Linked DNA regions of Drosophila melanogaster. The protein of the gene in region 1 interacts with the protein of each later gene in a pairwise test. Each region holds a gene or a part of one and is shown on either strand. Other genes may lie near its edges.

What was found.
Region 2: the proteins of cpx (region 1) and moon interact in a two-hybrid assay, tested with the Drosophila melanogaster proteins (one large-scale study listed by BioGRID).

The regions. Positions count from the first base shown.
Region 1 is NT_033777.3:4,275,695-4,285,399, forward strand, and holds the start of cpx (complexin), read left to right. Parts: upstream 1-4,526; 5' UTR 4,527-4,662; intron 4,663-4,690; exon of another isoform or gene 4,691-5,128; intron 5,129-6,010; exon of another isoform or gene 6,011-6,309; intron 6,310-6,469; exon of another isoform or gene 6,470-6,788; intron 6,789-6,930; exon of another isoform or gene 6,931-6,979; 5' UTR 6,980-7,140; intron 7,141-8,531; 5' UTR 8,532-8,657; coding exon 8,658-8,712; intron 8,713-9,705. Other genes in the region: flip (flippy), read right to left, coding at 1,752-2,099. UniProt on the Drosophila melanogaster protein: Positively regulates a late step in synaptic vesicle exocytosis.
Region 2 is NC_004354.4:12,069,356-12,077,338, reverse strand, and holds moon (moonshiner), read left to right. Parts: upstream 1-4,520; 5' UTR 4,521-4,608; coding exon 4,609-5,127; 3' UTR 5,128-5,331; downstream 5,332-7,983. Other genes in the region: CG34323 (uncharacterized protein), read right to left, coding at 6,458-6,625, 6,681-6,851.

The DNA.
Region 1 (9,705 bases):
CTGTGCCTTTGTTCGATTTTCTGACCCCTGTCTCCAATATTTTTAGAATAAATAAGGGCGAATTGGTAACGCTCATGGTTCGACTCGACCTCTTGCGCTAAAGCGAGAGCAGTTGGTAAATCTTTTGGACCTTTTGCAAAAAGAATGTCGCTCAACGATTTCTTAGCTCCGGTTACAAATACACGTAACGCGTCCGTCCTGTACTTTTCATTCAGTGACATCGCCAAGGCACTATCAAATGTCATTATTGTCTTGTTGGTAAGTAGGGTCAGTTTTTTCTCGACTTCATCGTAGAATTCAGTAAGAGTCATGTCTCCCTGTCGCAAAGTTGATAGCTCTTGTTCGATTAGATAGATCGGCCTTTTGTCAGAATATGTGAAATCAAGACGGCTGATCATTGCTTTGAAATGTAACGGAGTATTAAAAGAAGCCAATACTGTATTCGCTGGACCTTTTATTTTATTTCGCATAATACCAAGAGCTTGGTAAAATGTTGAACTTCCCTCGTAATCTTTGAAAACTTTAAAAGCGACATGAGCCGCTTTTCTCCACGACACATATGTTTCACTTTTGCCATCAAAATCTGGCAGAGATTTAATTATATCTAGAGGCTCGCTACAGACAACACCTGGTCTAATTTCAGCATCTACATAAGTTTCCACCTCTGGGGTGTTCACTGTTAATTTCCCGATTCGCTCATTCATCTCCTGCAATTGCTTTTCAAATGATTGTTTTTGGACTGCGAGCGCACCGGCAACAGCACTCTCTACGATCGCTTTTAACTGAGCTTCAAATTCCATTTCGCTAGTTGTCTTTGTTTTTGACCACCAATTATCTGATGACTTATTATTTTTTTCTGCACTGTTTTGCCTACTTGCCTGGTGCGCTGACCATTTATTTAAGCTTGACACTAGGTTGTCTAAAAGGTTATCACTGTCACTCATGTATTTTTATTATCAATACTCTTTGCATAGGTTATAATATAATAATAATAATAATATTTTTAATTCGTTCAATAAGCGTTATACTTACAATATAATAATAGTGATTAACAAACAATTTTAAGGTAGATGGTCTTAGTAATTAATATTATATTTTATGTAATCACGAAATTTTTATTTCTTAGGTTAGAGTTAATTAGCCAAAGCCGCTGATTTTGTCTCCGGATCCTCCTTTTGTTATTTATTTATAATTATTCAGTTATCGTAGGTTTTTATATCCGTTTGGGCGCCAATTATCATTTTAGTAGATTTTCCATATATTTATTAGCGTAAGTTTATTAATTACAATAGGGCTTGCGCGGTCTGCACTTAATGAGACGAATAGTAAGTACGTGGCGATGACCGACGCTTCTAATCTTCCAAAATCGACTGACTTAAGTATAGCAAGAGTTCTTATCTCTAAAGCTTAACAAGTTACAGTTTCTTATAGGTAAAGCTCGATCTATAGATGGGAAAAGCACTTGAGGCTTACGACTATATTTCGGGTGTTTTGTGATTGTGTTAACTTATACACTTGATATGGTCGGTCGATACGCTTCTTACTGCCTTGAACATACTTTTCAAGGAGTAAAAACGAAAGAAAAAGCCATTTAAGCTACTGTCAAAATATAAATTAAATGAATATTTCGAACCAGCAGAACCAGAAATTTGTAGAAAATATGTATATATGTACGTTTGATTGTGCATAGTTTCATGTTTGGAAGCAGAACGTTTTTGATAAATCGATTTAATAATATTAATAATGTTTACAACTATTTCAGGTGAGATAGCCAAAGGCACATAACAATGTCCATCCTTAGAAACTGTCAGCGCTTTTATGCGTAGTCGGTATCCGAAGTTTTCTTCCAGATTTGTAACTGTTATGGGAGAACTGGAAGTCCAATCCAACTGTAACCAGCCAAGTCTTTTATGGAACTTATCAATACAGTATACCGAGGCATTTTTTAATAAAGACCAATGAAGTTGAACGCTGTTAACGGTAGGATTGGAAATTCGCGACACGAAATCGGGCCACAAGAGTTTATACTCTTCTTGGGTTAATTTATCGTCAAGCTCATCTTCGCTTTGGTTTGACTTATTTTCCAAAGTGCTGCACATCGGGCAACGTTGAGGTTTAAACAAAAAAATTCCCCTAACCTTAGCGATAATAATAAACGAAGCAACGCCATGGTTACCAAAAAATCGAACTCAGAACTGTTAAGCCAATATCAGCTTGAAGTCGATTTATAAGGTTATCAATAGAAGTTTGCGCATGTTTGCTTGCAAATGTTGCCACGCCCACTGTAACTTCCACAAACCAGGCAAGGCTACCACTCCCAAACTTTTTCCAAATGTTTAGAAATTTTTTCATAGTTTTATAAGCTCTGAAATTTCTTGTTACCACCCCCATTTAAACGCCCACAAACCGCCCCAAACTACCATTTTAAAATTTTGTTTATTTTTTACTCGTTTTATTCCCAAATATCTATCGAAAAGCCAGACCCAGACAAATAATGTAATTTAGCGTTGCCAGCACCCAACTCCTTGCTGGTAATTACGACTAGTAAGTAAAAAGTCCTTGTAACAAAAGAAACTATTCCGCCTTGCAGAGGCGTGTGTGCCAACCTAACGACCCTTTGAGATACGTTTTCTTGTCGGCAATGATTCCGGAATTTCCGGAATTCCGGACAGTTATCTACCCTGCACAATGAGCAACTCATCGACCGCCATGGAGGCATGGGCGCCGGGCCACAGAGATAGGAGTATCTCGATTTCAGTCGAGTCTCGGCTGACATATCAAACACAAAGACTGGCACAAGCACATGCGGAAAATTATCATTTGTCAAAATCACAACATGAAACCGTTTTAAATTTAGCCACTCTGCAGCTAGACGCTAAAGCCGCCGCATCCCTCAGCTTAAGCCCGCACGCCGTCCTGCGGCAGCCGCCTTGTGCTTTTGCAGGCCCGAAATGACAATGTCTGTGGCTGAAGCTGAAACTGGGAAAATTTGAGTTGTCATCTTTGCGAATTCTCATTGATTGAAAACGACCGTACCAACCATCAAGGCGGCAGTTCTGGCTGCTTTGGACGGCGGGTTTTCAATATCATTATTTGTGACGGGGGACTTATAACTTCAATTTACAAATGCCAATTGAAAATACCTAGAAGAAAAGCAATTGTAAATTTCGCGGCGGCGGGGACACGGCCTCAGCAATACCGTTAGTGTGGGCGTGGCAAAAAAATGTTTAGGATGCCGATAGAAATTAGAAAGACATTATAAAATCAAAAAATCTCTACCCAACATTAAAAAGTGCGGGTATGGCAGTTTGGGCGGATTTTGTGCATTAGAGCCGGCGTGGTAAAAAGTATTTCGGCAAATCGATTGCAAAAAAGACTACAACAAAATTAAAAAAATATGAAAACATTTCCAAAAGTTGTGGGCATGGCAGTTTTGGGTGGATGGTGAGCGTTAGATTGGGCGTGACCACATTTAGAATGAATGGAATTTTCATGTCCAATCTCAACTCTTTAACTTTAATAGTTCCTGACTTTGCTGATCACAAATATTTATACTTTACGCTTCCCTTTACCTGTTGCATACTTTTCAACGAAGATAGTACACCATTTAACGAGTATAACAAGTTGTTAAATCATCCGCACTTATTAATTGTGAGCATATTTGTATAATTCCTATAATGGTATAGACATACTGTTGTAATTAATAAACAACAGTCGAAGAACTCTACTACTAATCTACTAATGATACTTTTAATCACCTAAACGTATCAGTCTATGAAAAAAGAAGCCATATAAATTATCGCGGCTGAACTAAATGCTGCTAAAAATGTCCAGGCGAACGGGTCTCCTGGCTGTCATTACCTCTTAAAAAAGCTGGAGCAGTGAGCAAAATGTGGCCAATTTTCCTCACGTCGTCTGATGATACGGGAGGCGAATGTGCGAAATACGCCTGAAAAAAATAATCATAACTGGGCAAATAGGCGATGAAGCAATCCCACTTTCCCATTATGACGTGTATGCTCTAATTAAATAATTTATATAAATTGCCACCGTTACTCCCACGCAAAAACCCGCAGGAATTTCCTGTTCCGCCGCACTCGAGCTTATCCTGCAGGAGCAGGCCCTGGTCGGAATCCCGGCGTATCGACAACCAATTCGGGCATTAGCTGCTATCAATACGCTTCTTCCGGCGGGTGTGTTAAAAAGCAAGGCCCACAAAGGATGTGGTGCTCACATGTTCAGAAATTAGCGGAGGATAATCTGTCACCGGTTCCGCTTCCGAGCAATCCCTGCCCGTACATGGTGCACTTTATTTATCGCAACGCCAGACTACGAGGCTTATGTAAGCGTGCCAGTCAATACTGATGAGGAATGGGAAAGGGGACTCCTTGTCTAGCAGGGCGTGCAAGAACGCCGTCTCCGGCAGAAGGGAAAGTCGTTATTAACCAACAATTCGGCTAAAAGCTTTCGGCCAGCAAGCTTTCGTTTTGTTTGGGGCCAACTGTCAAAACTGACAGCAGTGCTCTCTGCGTTGGGGACTCTCTTCGCGTTTCGGCGGCTGTTGTTACCACAAGAGCTGCTGGCTACCAGTATAACGTTTTCGGCAGTTAATGTAGTTTCGGTCACCAGCAGCAGCACCACCGCCCCAGAGCGAACTTTTCGGTTTGTATACGGGTCCGTGACGAGTGGCAATCAGTGCGATATTGCAGAGTGTAGCGTGCATTGGTGTGGGGAAAGTACCCAAGCCCTGTGGTTCTCCGTGACCGACTGTTTAGGTAGACCCCACGGTCCGCGGTCCGCCCTCCTTCCGCGCAAGTCCCCCACGCCAGCGGTCTAATGGCCAGTGGACTATGTCCCCAGCCTTTAATGCCCTAGTGGCCAGGTCGTGACTATCATACTAAACAATGAGCTTCGCTTTGTCGAGCCATAAGTAATAAGCAATTTGTGGAGGAAAAATTATCTCACGCTGTGCAGCAAGGACTTGCTGGAGTGAACTTCAGTTGTATACGGGCGAGGAAGGCAGCTAACCTCCCATTCAGTGCCAATCCACCAAGCTGTCTGCCAAAACGCTATGAAATTATAATTGATTGAGCGGAAAACAATGACGCCATCTTAGTCGGCCATATTGGTATGAACACTGTCGGATCTGTGTCGCACTAATTAGAAGTCTGGAGTATTCTCCTGCGCCCTTGGCAACCTTGATAGGAGCTCTTGTCACGACATAGACTTTGACCCGACCACTGTCCGATGGCGGACAGATGAGCGGATGTGGCCAGATCTTTGCAATTTCCTCCTTTAAAGCTATGTGCTTCCGGTCCCGTCTTCCTGCTGCCTGGTCAGCACAGTCCGCCCAGCATGTACACACGAATGTGTGCAAACAAACGAGAGTGGCACTGACAAGCCAACAAAGGCCGTTCCAGTGGGTTGAGGGCGCAGCCGAGGGATGCGGTGCAGTTCGGCTGGTTCTCGCTCCGAGTGGTGATAATGGCTCGTAGTCACAGCGAGCGTCTTATCAGTACGGCATAGCCTGATGCTAAATGTTACAGGAACACTAACACGACCGCCACGAATCGATATCGCGTATACGCTATTCGGCGCAGGCGCCATCTCCCAAATGTAGGCAGCGCTTTTGCTGCTGATTTCAAAGTCAAAAAGTCAAGAAATTGAGACCGAGAAAGAGAGCGAAGGAGGAAGAGAGTGAGAGCGAAAGACATTGAGAGGGATAGAGATAGAGGGGAATCGAATTATGTAACAGACAAAAAATAGCAGTCAGATAAATATATTAGAGAGACAGAGAGATAGAGAAAGGGGGCAGGGTAGGGTTCTTTCAGTCCTGGCGGTCCTGCAATCTTGCCGTCAAACGAGTCCCACCCCCACCATTGTTGCCCTTATCTATGTGAGTGCCTGTGGTGCTCGTTTTCTCTCGGCAAGCCGAGCGGGAAAGCACTCAAACCCGAGCCCGAGAATTTTCGGACGGCGCTAAAGCTCGGTCCCTCGAAGCCCGCTATTCACTGGATTTCGGGGCCGCAGCGGCGCGGTCGGCTCCGACGCCACTGCCTCCGCCAACGCTTTGTAAGGCGCTCGCATGCGGAACAGCGGCAACGAGCCACGTTTACCGAGTTTTTCGTGTAGGGTACTCTGGCAGTGGCGTGCAGAAGAGTGCGAACATAGCATGAAGTAAGAAGCGCCGAGAAAACATAGCGACGGTCTAGTGAAAAGTGGCAAGCAAAGCAAAAGTATTAAGCACACACACACTGCCAGTGCGCACGGACACACACAGCACACTCCCGCACCAACACACTAGAGCAAGTGCGTGTACATAGAGGGTTTGTGTGGGGCACATATGTGCCCGCACGATGTCGATACTGGCTCACATTGGTAGTATTTAAAAAGCGACGAACGGCCCGAGCTCGAAAGCACGACTGAAAACCTAAATTGATTAAGCGAATTTGTTCTATCAAGCTAATTCAATTGCTCGGCCAGTTGACTGAGTGATCCACTGCAAGCGCAGCCTTATGTAATCGGAATCAGTGAAAAAAGCGAAACACGGCGGCCGCCAAAGGAATACGACTCCAGGACCCGAGTCAAATCGAATTTGTTTGCTGCGCGTATTACGTAAAGTAAAAATCTTGTTTGCTTGTGGCACCCGCCTCCTCGAACCCCTCCCCACTCAAAAAGGCACTTACGTGCACGCTCCCATAAAAGAAACCCTAATAAAGAAATATCGATAAAAGCAACGAAGCAAGTGGCACGCCAGCACAATAACGACGACGACAAGCGAAACATCGGTAACAATGCGACCCCTGGGGGTGTTGGTGTGTGTGTCTGCTATTTTTAAATTAGCGCCAGTCCTCTAGGTTCGGCTCGACCCCGCCGAACCCTGAAACCCGTAACCCGGGAGCCATATAACCCTGGAAGCCCAGAACTCTGCACTGTGAACAACTAAACGACGCCTTCTGTGTCTCTGTTTGTCTTTCAGGAAGCCTATCTGCCTAATGCACGCTCTTCACAGTGGATTTCCTTAGAACAAACACATTTCGCGCAGACTAGTCGGAACTTTGCTCCTCATCAACCAAGTCCACGCACTCACAGGAATCTTCAAGCAAAATCTGAAAGGAATACTTGCTGAACTAAGGCCAGGTATGTGGGTGGTCCATCAACCTAAAAAGTGTCGAAAGTATGCCCCAAGTATGCTCCAAACTTGCTCGCACTTTATTTCAAATATTTGTGCAAAGTGTTCGTCCGCATCCTGCACATTTTACGCGTAGATTGCTCGAAGGCAGCAAAAAGTTCCAAGCTCATTACGCAATCGTTCGAGTCCTCAAAATAATGCGAAGACTATCCAAAGACGAAACGATCGCAGTGCTCCATAGCTGCTTCGCCTGAGGCGTATACATGATATACTTGAGGTATACTTACCCTTTTATGGCCAAGGCCAAATGCTTAGGAGCGTGGGTGCAGCGTTGGGTCGGAGTCACACACAGCTTATTTGCGTATTTATTGGCTTTGGTTTTCTGACTGGATCCCGTATTAGAAAACTTTAAATGTAACTGGATAGCCAACTGAGAAGAACTTTGGGTCAACTTGAAATGTTTAGTGGCCCAAAGATAAGAAGGTGTTCCTGTTGCGACCACACCTTGGCCACCCGACCATAAAATTCTAAGCACGAATGTCATAAATTTCGCTTCTATTTAGCTATATTAAGTCAGATAGATGTGTTAGTTCGTCTCGTTTGCACCAAAATTCCGTGAGCCCGTGAACTTGTTTTCCCGATTCATTTTGCCCGACCATCTATTGCGCTGCTAGATGCGGGATGGTGGGACCGAAATGAATTTTTTACTGCACTTGCCCTGGTCAATAAAATATTTAGCTGTTTGCTAACTAACTGCCTGTCATAGTCTTCTCGCTATCATTAGCCGAGGATAAAAAGAAGAAGGGGAATGAAGGCGATATTCAGACTTCAACTGACACTCTTCATTTGTCCATTCCGTCCATTTCGCCTCGCCACCTTTCAGCCCTGGCCAAGTGGTTTGCTTGCGCAGTTAGAGAGAAACAAGCTGCCGCCTCCAGCTTAAGTTCGTTAACCCAATTTGCGCAATTATTAATATATGGGTACAAAGAGACGATGCAGACGCAGCCAGCAGCAATAAGATACCCTAGCTGCGTCCCAGCCTGGGGCGTTAATAAAATTAAAAATTTCGGCTGGAAGACACGTAGACCGCATTTATTACGGGATTATTGTGCTGTAGGACTAGGGGTTCGAGTTATTAGATTTGCGAATTAAGTTCAGTACCAGCCAGGGCTGCTTGGCCTGCTTGCCCCTCTAGCAATAAATGGCACTGAGATTCTGGCCAAGTCATAAACTGAATGAGATCGGTTTCTAGTGAAACAGTGCTTCAGCAGAGTACTCGACTTAAGGCATTTAACATAAGCGGCTTAAAGTATCAGGCGGACCCAGGTGACAGGGCACTTCTTTGTCCTGCAGCACACAAAATTAATTTGCTCTTTTCGTTTTGCTTTGTCGCTTTTAGCTTACCGAGCACCCAGGACCCAGCAACCGGGACTCAGGAGCCAGCGCGGACACAAGTGCATCTCTTCGAGCGGAAGCAGAGGACCACAACCAGGCGCAGCCACGCCCCTAGAGCGACAGCCCAAAGATGGCGGCCTTCATAGCTAAGCAGATGGTTGGAAACCAATTAAGTGCCGTTAAAGGTAAGTCGCACCGGAAACAGCCACCCCAGCATTTTATTTTTGGCACTCAATCAATACACTTTGATATGGACGTGCGGACGGGCGGTATACATAATTCACTTTCAAGCTGCTGCGCAGCGACAAAAATTACCACACATGACAGCCACCGCTTTTAGATACACAGCAAGGTCCTATCCAGTCAGCATCCGCATCCGCATCCGCATCCCCGTCCGCATCCCCGTCCGCATCACCGTCCGCATCTTCAACCCCGGCCAGGCGTTAGGCAAAGTCATTGGGTTCCCATTGAGGCTGCTGTTTAATCAGCGACTGTGCAATCGCTCGGAAAATAATAGAATGCTTTCAGAAAGAGAAAAGAGCGAATGCTAGGGTGAGAATAGTTAAGTTGAATGCTTATCAACCGACAGCATGCAACCCACTCTGAGCTGGGCCATTTACATAGAGCAGCCCTCTGCCCTGAGCACCAATTCCCCCTCCCTGGGACATATGTAAACTACCTCTACATCCCAGGCAAAAGACTCGTACAGTTTGCAAGTGCGCTGCAGTGCCTAACCCAATACCCCATACCCAAACTCCATCATCTGCAGCTGAGCCGGCCTGAGGAGAGCACATTACCGGGTGTCTTATCGAACGCAGAAATTCTGCACGAATGCCCAGGAAAGTGTTTCCGACATATTGGTACAGTTAATTGTGTAGATTGATACTGAATTTGTCACGCTCCCGTGCCCAGACTCCAGCGTCAGCCGGGGAAGAGTTCAGGGCCGGCGACTCAATCATCCCGCCGTCCTGTTCACCAGGCAGCCAGATGGGGTTTAGCTAAAGATTGCGGTTGGTGCGGTCGGCCATTAGGCTGTCAAGGCTATCGAGGCTGTCAGGGAACACGAAAACGCTATTAGCATGGGCATAAAATGCGAAGAACCGAATCAGATCTTTATACGTGGACTAGCTACCAGGATACCAGACTCTAGGTACTCTCTCTCGTTCCGCAACTCGCTC
Region 2 (7,983 bases), on another chromosome or scaffold:
ACATACCTCCCACCACTTGCCAATTTTTGCGCCATATGCGCCAGCCATAATGACGTCATCGAAGGGTAGGATAAATGCAAGAAAATTATGTACTCACCACTGGCATTTCGAAGTGCAAAGTTATGACCGCAGATTTTCGTAGAAATGCTTTAGCTTTATGTGCCATGCTTAATGTGCCATTTAGCTGAAATTGATAAGAATTCATAGAGTTTTATTCACTTGGAAATGTATAAATATAAATATAAATAAATAATAAATATAAATAAATAATAATAATAAATATAAGTATAAATTTGTAATGGTTCCTGAAAATTAATGACTTATGAAATTATATTGAATTTTTTGTGTTTTATTCCCTGTTGTGATCATTTTGTAAGATCTTTAAATTCCGATTTATTACCACTTTTGTTGGTCTTTGGAGTATTGGTAGTAAAATGGGGAATCCTGAATCGTGAATGGCAGGCTTCTTAACTCATTGCCACCGCTGTCTGATAATGATGATGATGCATCATTAGGTTGACTAATTTTAATTACGCCGGCGCCTAAATTGCTGCTATCATTTTTAATAATATGCCGTGTCTGTGTCGCTCTGCATCTCTTTCTCACACCCTGCCGCTGTCTCTGTCACACCAACTCGTGTCGCCTCTCTCTCTCTCTCTCTCTGTGTCTATCAAGCCCTCTCATTCTGCCACCCTGTCTGTCTTGCCGCCTGTCCTTAGTTAGTGTTAACTTTTGCAAGCGGCAGCTGTTGCGAGCATCTTTCCAGTCTTCGTCCTTTGCCACTTTTTGTTACCCTTTCTGAAGGTGCTTCAGTTAGTGAAAGTGTTTACAGTTTCTGTCCTTTTCAGTTTATAATATGATATAAAGCACCACTTAGATTTGATTGCAGAAGGTGCATAATATAAGTATATATATACCTTTATAGATAATTTCAATATTGTCATAATTGTTGTATAAATTTGCCTGTAGTGTAGCTCAATCTTCGGCTCGAAACTTTTAGCTGCATGTCCTGGCCGACCAAACGACTTTTGCCCTGTCTTGATGCCTGGCACGGCTTCGTCTGCCATTCAGTGAGAGGGGAGGGAGGAAGGGCAAGATAGGGGGTGGCAACGAGGGGGGTGTTGCACAAAGCCAACAAATTATGCACTCACACACACACATACAAATGGGGGGGTGGTGCAGACAACTGCGTCGCTATTTGAGTTATGTACCAGTATGTATGTGCAAAGGAGCCGGCACATGGCAATGCCATCCGCACCACCACCGCCATCCCCTTTCCACGCTCCCCTTTTTGCAACGCCCCTGCACCACTTGAGCTGTACTTTTTTTTTGGCGTCCTTTGAGGACCCGGCACTTGCAACTAGCGACTCTGTGCCAGGTCTGTCCTTTCGGCCCGGCTGACATCTTCTTACTCCATTTGGGCGCGCTGTCGTGTTAATTTAGCGCGAAATATTTGACAAGATGACGCGATGCCACAGTCCCTGCGCCCATTTGCACCCCTCGCAATGGTGCACAGGCAGAAAAAACGGGTCACTTGTGCAGTTCAGTCTTTTGACTGGCTTGCAAATACGTTTTTTTTTTCACTTTGGCCAAGGACTAAAACATGGACAAACTTAAGCTCTCTCGTGCAAAACTGCTTTTATTGCGTTAATAGCTACTTCATTTCTTGCAGTGTATGCCAGGACAGGCACTCTTGTCGACGGCAGTAACGATCGAACTTCAGTCTCAGTCTCGCTGTCTGTGCAACAGACACTCATATCGATTTATAAGATGCCACACACTCCTGACATTCGATAGTGACTCCACTGTCGTGTCCTGATGTCCCGATGTCCTGATGTCCCGATGTCCTGATGTCCCGATGTCCTGATGTCTCGATGTCCTAATGTCCCAGTGTACCGCCCCAAAAGTCCTAGAGTTGCCGTGATTGAGCTGCGCGGTCGCTTTAAGTGATTTGCTCTCTCCAGCTAATTCGCAGACAATCCAACGTAAAAGCCGCAAGTGACTATTGACAGTTTGAACAAGGACTACACGAAACTTGGTTCTGGATTCGAATCAAGAAGATCACCAAATATATATTATTGAAATACTCAATTATTAGCGAAACTCTTGATTTTATCGATTTATTATGCCATTCTTTTTAAGTTAGTAACCAATTCAAGTGACTCGAAAGTTTTGATCGCCCATGCCATTTATGATTCAATTCAATCTATGCCTATGGCCACAAATAGTCGAGTAATTTATCGTATAAACTGCATTTTCAAGCCAAACTACTCACGGCCCAAATCAGCCGCATAATCAGCGCTATCGCCATCATCATCGGCACTATCATTATCATTATCATTATCATCATTGTTCCTTGTCGCGTCGTTGGGGATCGAAGGTTGTCGTTTGCTATTGGGGGGGTTACACGGGTTATTGAGGGTTACAAGGAGGTTACAAGGTGGTTACAGAGGGAGGAGGTTCATAGTAGGGAGCCAGCCAACGACAGACAGAGTCATTTATAAAATTTCCACCCGAACGTGTTAAATGGCGTCAATATTAAAAGTTCAAATATGACGCTGACGATGACGACGCTTGGGGAAAATGGGCAAGGGAAAATGGTTATGTGCGGGTGCATGGACGGTGACTTTAGGGGTTCGCGGGTCTAGGGCGTGATAAAATCGTAGGTTTGGCCAGGCAGGCAGACTAACATATATAGACGGCAAACGAATCAACAAACGTTGAAGCTATTATCGTTGTCGCAACATCGCACAACTACAGATACAACTGCGGCGTAACATGCATGGGTGTCTCTGGTCTAAGATAAAGGGGGTTCGTAACTGAAGTCTAGAAAGGGATATTTGCACTTTTAGAAAATAATAGCTACAAATCAAAGTCTTGAAAGTTCAAAAGCAGGCAATCATCTTGTTTTAAAGAGTATCCTGGTACCTTTATGTCTTGTCTTAAATGTAGTACTTAAATATACGAGTTTAGATCCCTTCTGCGAATGCCACTGCATACACACACACATATGGCATATGGTCCTTGTTGCTATTGCTCTTGCTGCTGCTCATCATCATCTTTTGGCGTTAGCAAGTGCTTGGCGGCAACTTCTAATGGCGGCATTATGCCCGCCAAACTCCACCCCCCTCCCCAAGCCTTATTCTGCTCATGAGTGTGTGTGTGTGTTTGTGTGTGTGTGTGTGCGCCCTGCGCAAAATGAAAATGAAACTGTTGCAAAATCCCATAAAACGGCCAAAAAGCTTTTGTAAATGACGCCAACAGCTGTCGATGGCAAAGCAGACAACGTCGCCGTCCGCCCAATTTGCCAAAGCACCCACCCACTCACTCATGAAGCCCCAAACACCCCCCCACCCCTTCGGAAACACCCCCTTCGTTGTACCACGATTGACATCTATGTGTGGGTGCACCGCTAAAAAATACTTCTATTTGAAATGATCGCTTTGTCTTAAGGTTTTTAAAACATTATAACATAGCATAGTAATACATAGTAATACTGAACTTGCCACAATAGAAACATTTGTATTCGATTTCAGATTATGTAACGCATATGTGAAATAATTTATTAGACTTAAATTGTTTTCAATACCAAATTGTTTTCACTGCTTAATTGTGTGTTAGAAATGGGGGTTAGATGGCGCTGCTAGTGGTGAGTGGGGCATCGTGAAGGTTTTTGGCGCGTTTTAATAAAGCGACAATGACATTTTATGAATTTTCCACTTTGTTCTCGGTCCACGCCCACAATACGCCAACCCAACACCCCCTAACCCGCCGATGACACCACGATGCCAGCCCCTTTGTGCTGTTTTCATTATTTGTTTGTTTGCCGAGAACCACAGACTGGCGGCCGGTTGGAATCCAGGACTCCAGGACTCCAGGACTGTAGGACTCCAAGACCAGGACTTCCAAAACTCCAAATGAATTGACATTGTCTGTGTATTCGACGGCTGGTTCAGTGTGTGTGTGTGCCGTGGGTTGGAGGGGGCAAGCCCCCGTGTGTGTTAGTGGGTGCTGGTGCCTGGGTGTTGCACAAAGGCGTGTCCCAGTGTGCCTTTTGATATCGGATTTCATTTATAATTAGCTGCAAAGTTAACGGTTGCCAGCCATACCTTGACTTGTGGTTGGTGGTGGCCCCGGTCAAGTAATTTGCTTGTCAGTTGGGTTCCCGGGGTTACTTGGCTCACCAGATGGATGGCAAGGCTGCCATGGGGCTGCACTGCAGGTGGTGGAAGCTGTCCAACGGCCAGGAAGATGTCGTAGTTTAAGTTAAAAGAATCTTTAAGCAAGGCTTTTTTTCCAATATTCTAGCCCCTTTCGATTGCAAGATAACTTAAAATTTAAATTATATTACCATTTATAAATGCACATGAGTAAAATTGTTATTATTATTATTGTTATATATAAATATATATCTATATAAATTTATTTAATAGCTTATAACATCGTTATCAGTGTGAACATTCTATAATCCTCCCATGCATTGCGGTAAGTCGATGATCAATTGTATCGATCGATAGCAAGCTTAATCTATCGGCGTAAGCAGCGTAGCTCTCATAAAACAATAACATTGAGAACCAGTCATTTCAACCACATTGCTTTGGCTTTGCCATGGCCAAGATATTGCCCACCGATGGCATCTGGATACCGGAGTCGTGCAGCTTTCCGGAGGATGTGATGATCGATATGATGGAGGGACTATTCCGCGATGTGCCAAACCTAACGCACAAGGAGTACCTGGCGCTGGCCGACCTGCAATCTAGATGGATGGCGAAGCTGGCCAACCGACAGCCGGAATCGAATCCCCTGCCGCCAAAGCCAAAGAAGCGTAAGAAAATCGCTCCAAAGAAGCAGGACCAGCCTGTCGAGGAGAAGGGCAGCGAAGTCGACATCTACGATGTGGACGACAACGAGATGGTCAACAATCGCATCTACATTCCGCGACTGCGTTCCGCTTGGAGAGCTCGCTATTTCAACATTATGATGCGCGCCTTTGTCATCAAACGGGGACTATTGAATAAGCACATTAACTGGCAGATTCTCGACAAGATCATGGCAGCCCCCGACGCAGAGGGACAAGCCGAGCTTCAGGCGTTTGTTGACAAAGTGGTCGCAGGCCAGGAAATGTAGTCCTTACAGCCTCCTAGGATAAGCACCCAAACACATAGATATGTAAATTCAAAATATCAATTGTTTACTCAAATTAAAAATAACAATTGTATAATCAAATCAACCTTTGTAAAATCATACCAATTGAACATAAGCATAGGTGTGAAGCAAAACCAGAGCCAATAAACCATACGAATGCCATCGTCTTCTGTGGGCCAAATCAACAAACGTTTTCCCAATTTCCCCATGAACGGCTCGGTGCCACACACCGAAACATGGGAGAAGTTACAAAGTAAATTCCACGCCCGGTTGCCAAGTGGTAGTCCAAATTAACAGCTAATTACGTGCGAATGAGAGCTACCCGGTTGGGGGATGTGGTCCAAATGTACTGGCTGCGAGCAAAATGGAAAACGGGGCAGGTCACAACGAACACGTACTAGCAACTAAATGGAGAGAAAGCGAGACAGACACCGAGTCAAACAACATTTGAATACGAAATTGCCCTTGAAAAAAGGGTTGCCAGCAAAAAAAAAAAAAAAAAAAAAACAATCAAAAAAAGTACAAGATATTCCAAAAGTCCCTGCGAGGCGAGAACAAAAGTGACAAATTAGTCAGTGGGTGGGGGTGTCAGTGGGAGGCAGTCGACACTGAAAGCGTTAAAATTGAGATGGGGTGCGCCAAAAATATCCACTCGGAAAACGTTGAACTTACATATATAATGCAAGACAACTTGGTCGTTAGACCGGGTCTTTCTGTATTCTTTCTGGTCATTACAACATAATATTGTGGCGGTTGTCATAAGGAAACTTTCACAAATCTGCACACGTAGCTCGATCTCTTTTTGCATAATTACCAGCCAAGTCAAGAAACAATAGGTAGAGGTATAGTAAGTATACATTATCATTTTTCTTTCAAACTTCAAATTGTATAAAATCTGTTCAACGTTTAAGCAACTACAATACGGCAAGTCAGAAAAGAAAAGTTTTATTTTGCTTAGATATTTCATGTTTTTGATCAATTTTCTTGCATTGTTTCTCTATATATATTTCAATTTGGAATATGGAAATGTGCAAATACCCTTAGTTGATTGTATTGAATATTGTATTGTATAGTTGATTGGATTGAATATCTAAAGTTGTTCCCTATTATGTATTTTTTCAGCTGCCACTGTGTGTGGTTATTGTCGGTTTGTAGATTTGTAAGCAATGACTCTGGTCCTTAGGATCCAGAATCCAGGATCCTTAGGATCGGACTTGGAAAATTAACGCCCCAAAAAGGGATTGTGTCGTTAAATGGGGGCATTTGCATTTCAGCACCCGGTTTAATGGGAACTGAAAAGTTCTCCGATGTTTTATCCAGATGATTTAACGGTGAATATTCCGAACGTATTCGGTATCTCCCCATCGTGTTCGATGCCTAATTGTACCCCAAAGTACAGGACGTCGCCAACGTTTACTTCGCACCAAGAACTGCCGATTCGCGTCGGCCAATAGTTAAGAAATATGCCATTATTGGTTTCCTGCGGAAGGCATAAACGATAACCATCGGTTGCACCATCGTAATACGCATCTTACCATCTCCTTAATGAAAATGTCTCCCTGATTAACGTGAATAAGAGCATGATATCTCGACATATAGTCGTACTTCAATACCCAGGTGCAAGAGGAGTGGCGCCCCAGAATTTGGATGCCCTCGTTCAAGTTAATCCGATCGCCAGTGAGCACGTGTTCCAGATAGAATGTCATTTTTCCCACCAAAACATAACACTCTTAAACTTGAAACGAAATGTTCTTCTTCTTCTTTAGAGTCTTTCAAACTAACGCCGCAGTCAATTATCGATTGTATTCGATAAATTTAAGTACTAAAGCATTGTCCATGTGCTTGTGTGGTATTATAATACCAAAATAATATATATTAAAATATATTTACATGCAATATTTAACATTTTGACTTTTTATACATATGGCATATGTAAACATACTTAACGATGAAATGATTTAATTGACTTGGTGGTATATAAACCAGATGCCTTGTAATCGATAACTTATCGCTGAGAATCGTGATCGGATCGCTAAATATCATCGAAGCCCAAACAATAACAAGCAAAGTTTAAACCAATTTGCATGGTAGCTTTTGCATAAATAATTGACTGAATAACTGACTCCGCTCCGGCGTAATTAGCCAGAATTCATGGAATAGAATCCCTTCACCAAGGGATGACAACGCTGCCGAGGCCAAAAGTCAAATACCCGGACCAAATGCAGTGAGCCAAAAATAATGAACTCCAAATGAAGTAGAACAAAAAGAAAACACAGTGTTAATTATTCATATTTCATTAGCGCACAGCACAGAAGAAACTCAGGTGAAGGCGATGCGATGCGATGCGATGGCAAAAGGCAAAGGCGTGTGCCATCTAAAATTTATAAAAATCAAAGTAAGCACTGCGAGCGCAAGGAGAATAACTTTCTGATGGCCGATCACTGGTATACCCTACATATATGTAATAACATCATATTAAATTATCTTATCTTTGCAGAATTGGAAAGTTGGGTTATGGGAATGTGGCACGCAAATCGTGCAACCAATTCTTGGAATCTTAAAGCTTAACTGCATACTTTTCAATAGTTCAATCTTTATAAAATTTATAAATAGTTCGGGTTTTCAGTTAACCAATTACAAGTTACAGAACCAGATAGTTATATAATCCTTCTCATAACTATATTCTACCAAATGTTTCCCTTTTAATTCCTTATGAGAATTTGAATAGATATTTTCCGACTAGTCTTCTAATAAGTTAAACAAAATCTGCTGAACTTTAAAATAAGATTCATATCATTTCTGTAAGATGAGCATAAACATTTCATAGAGCTTACAGTG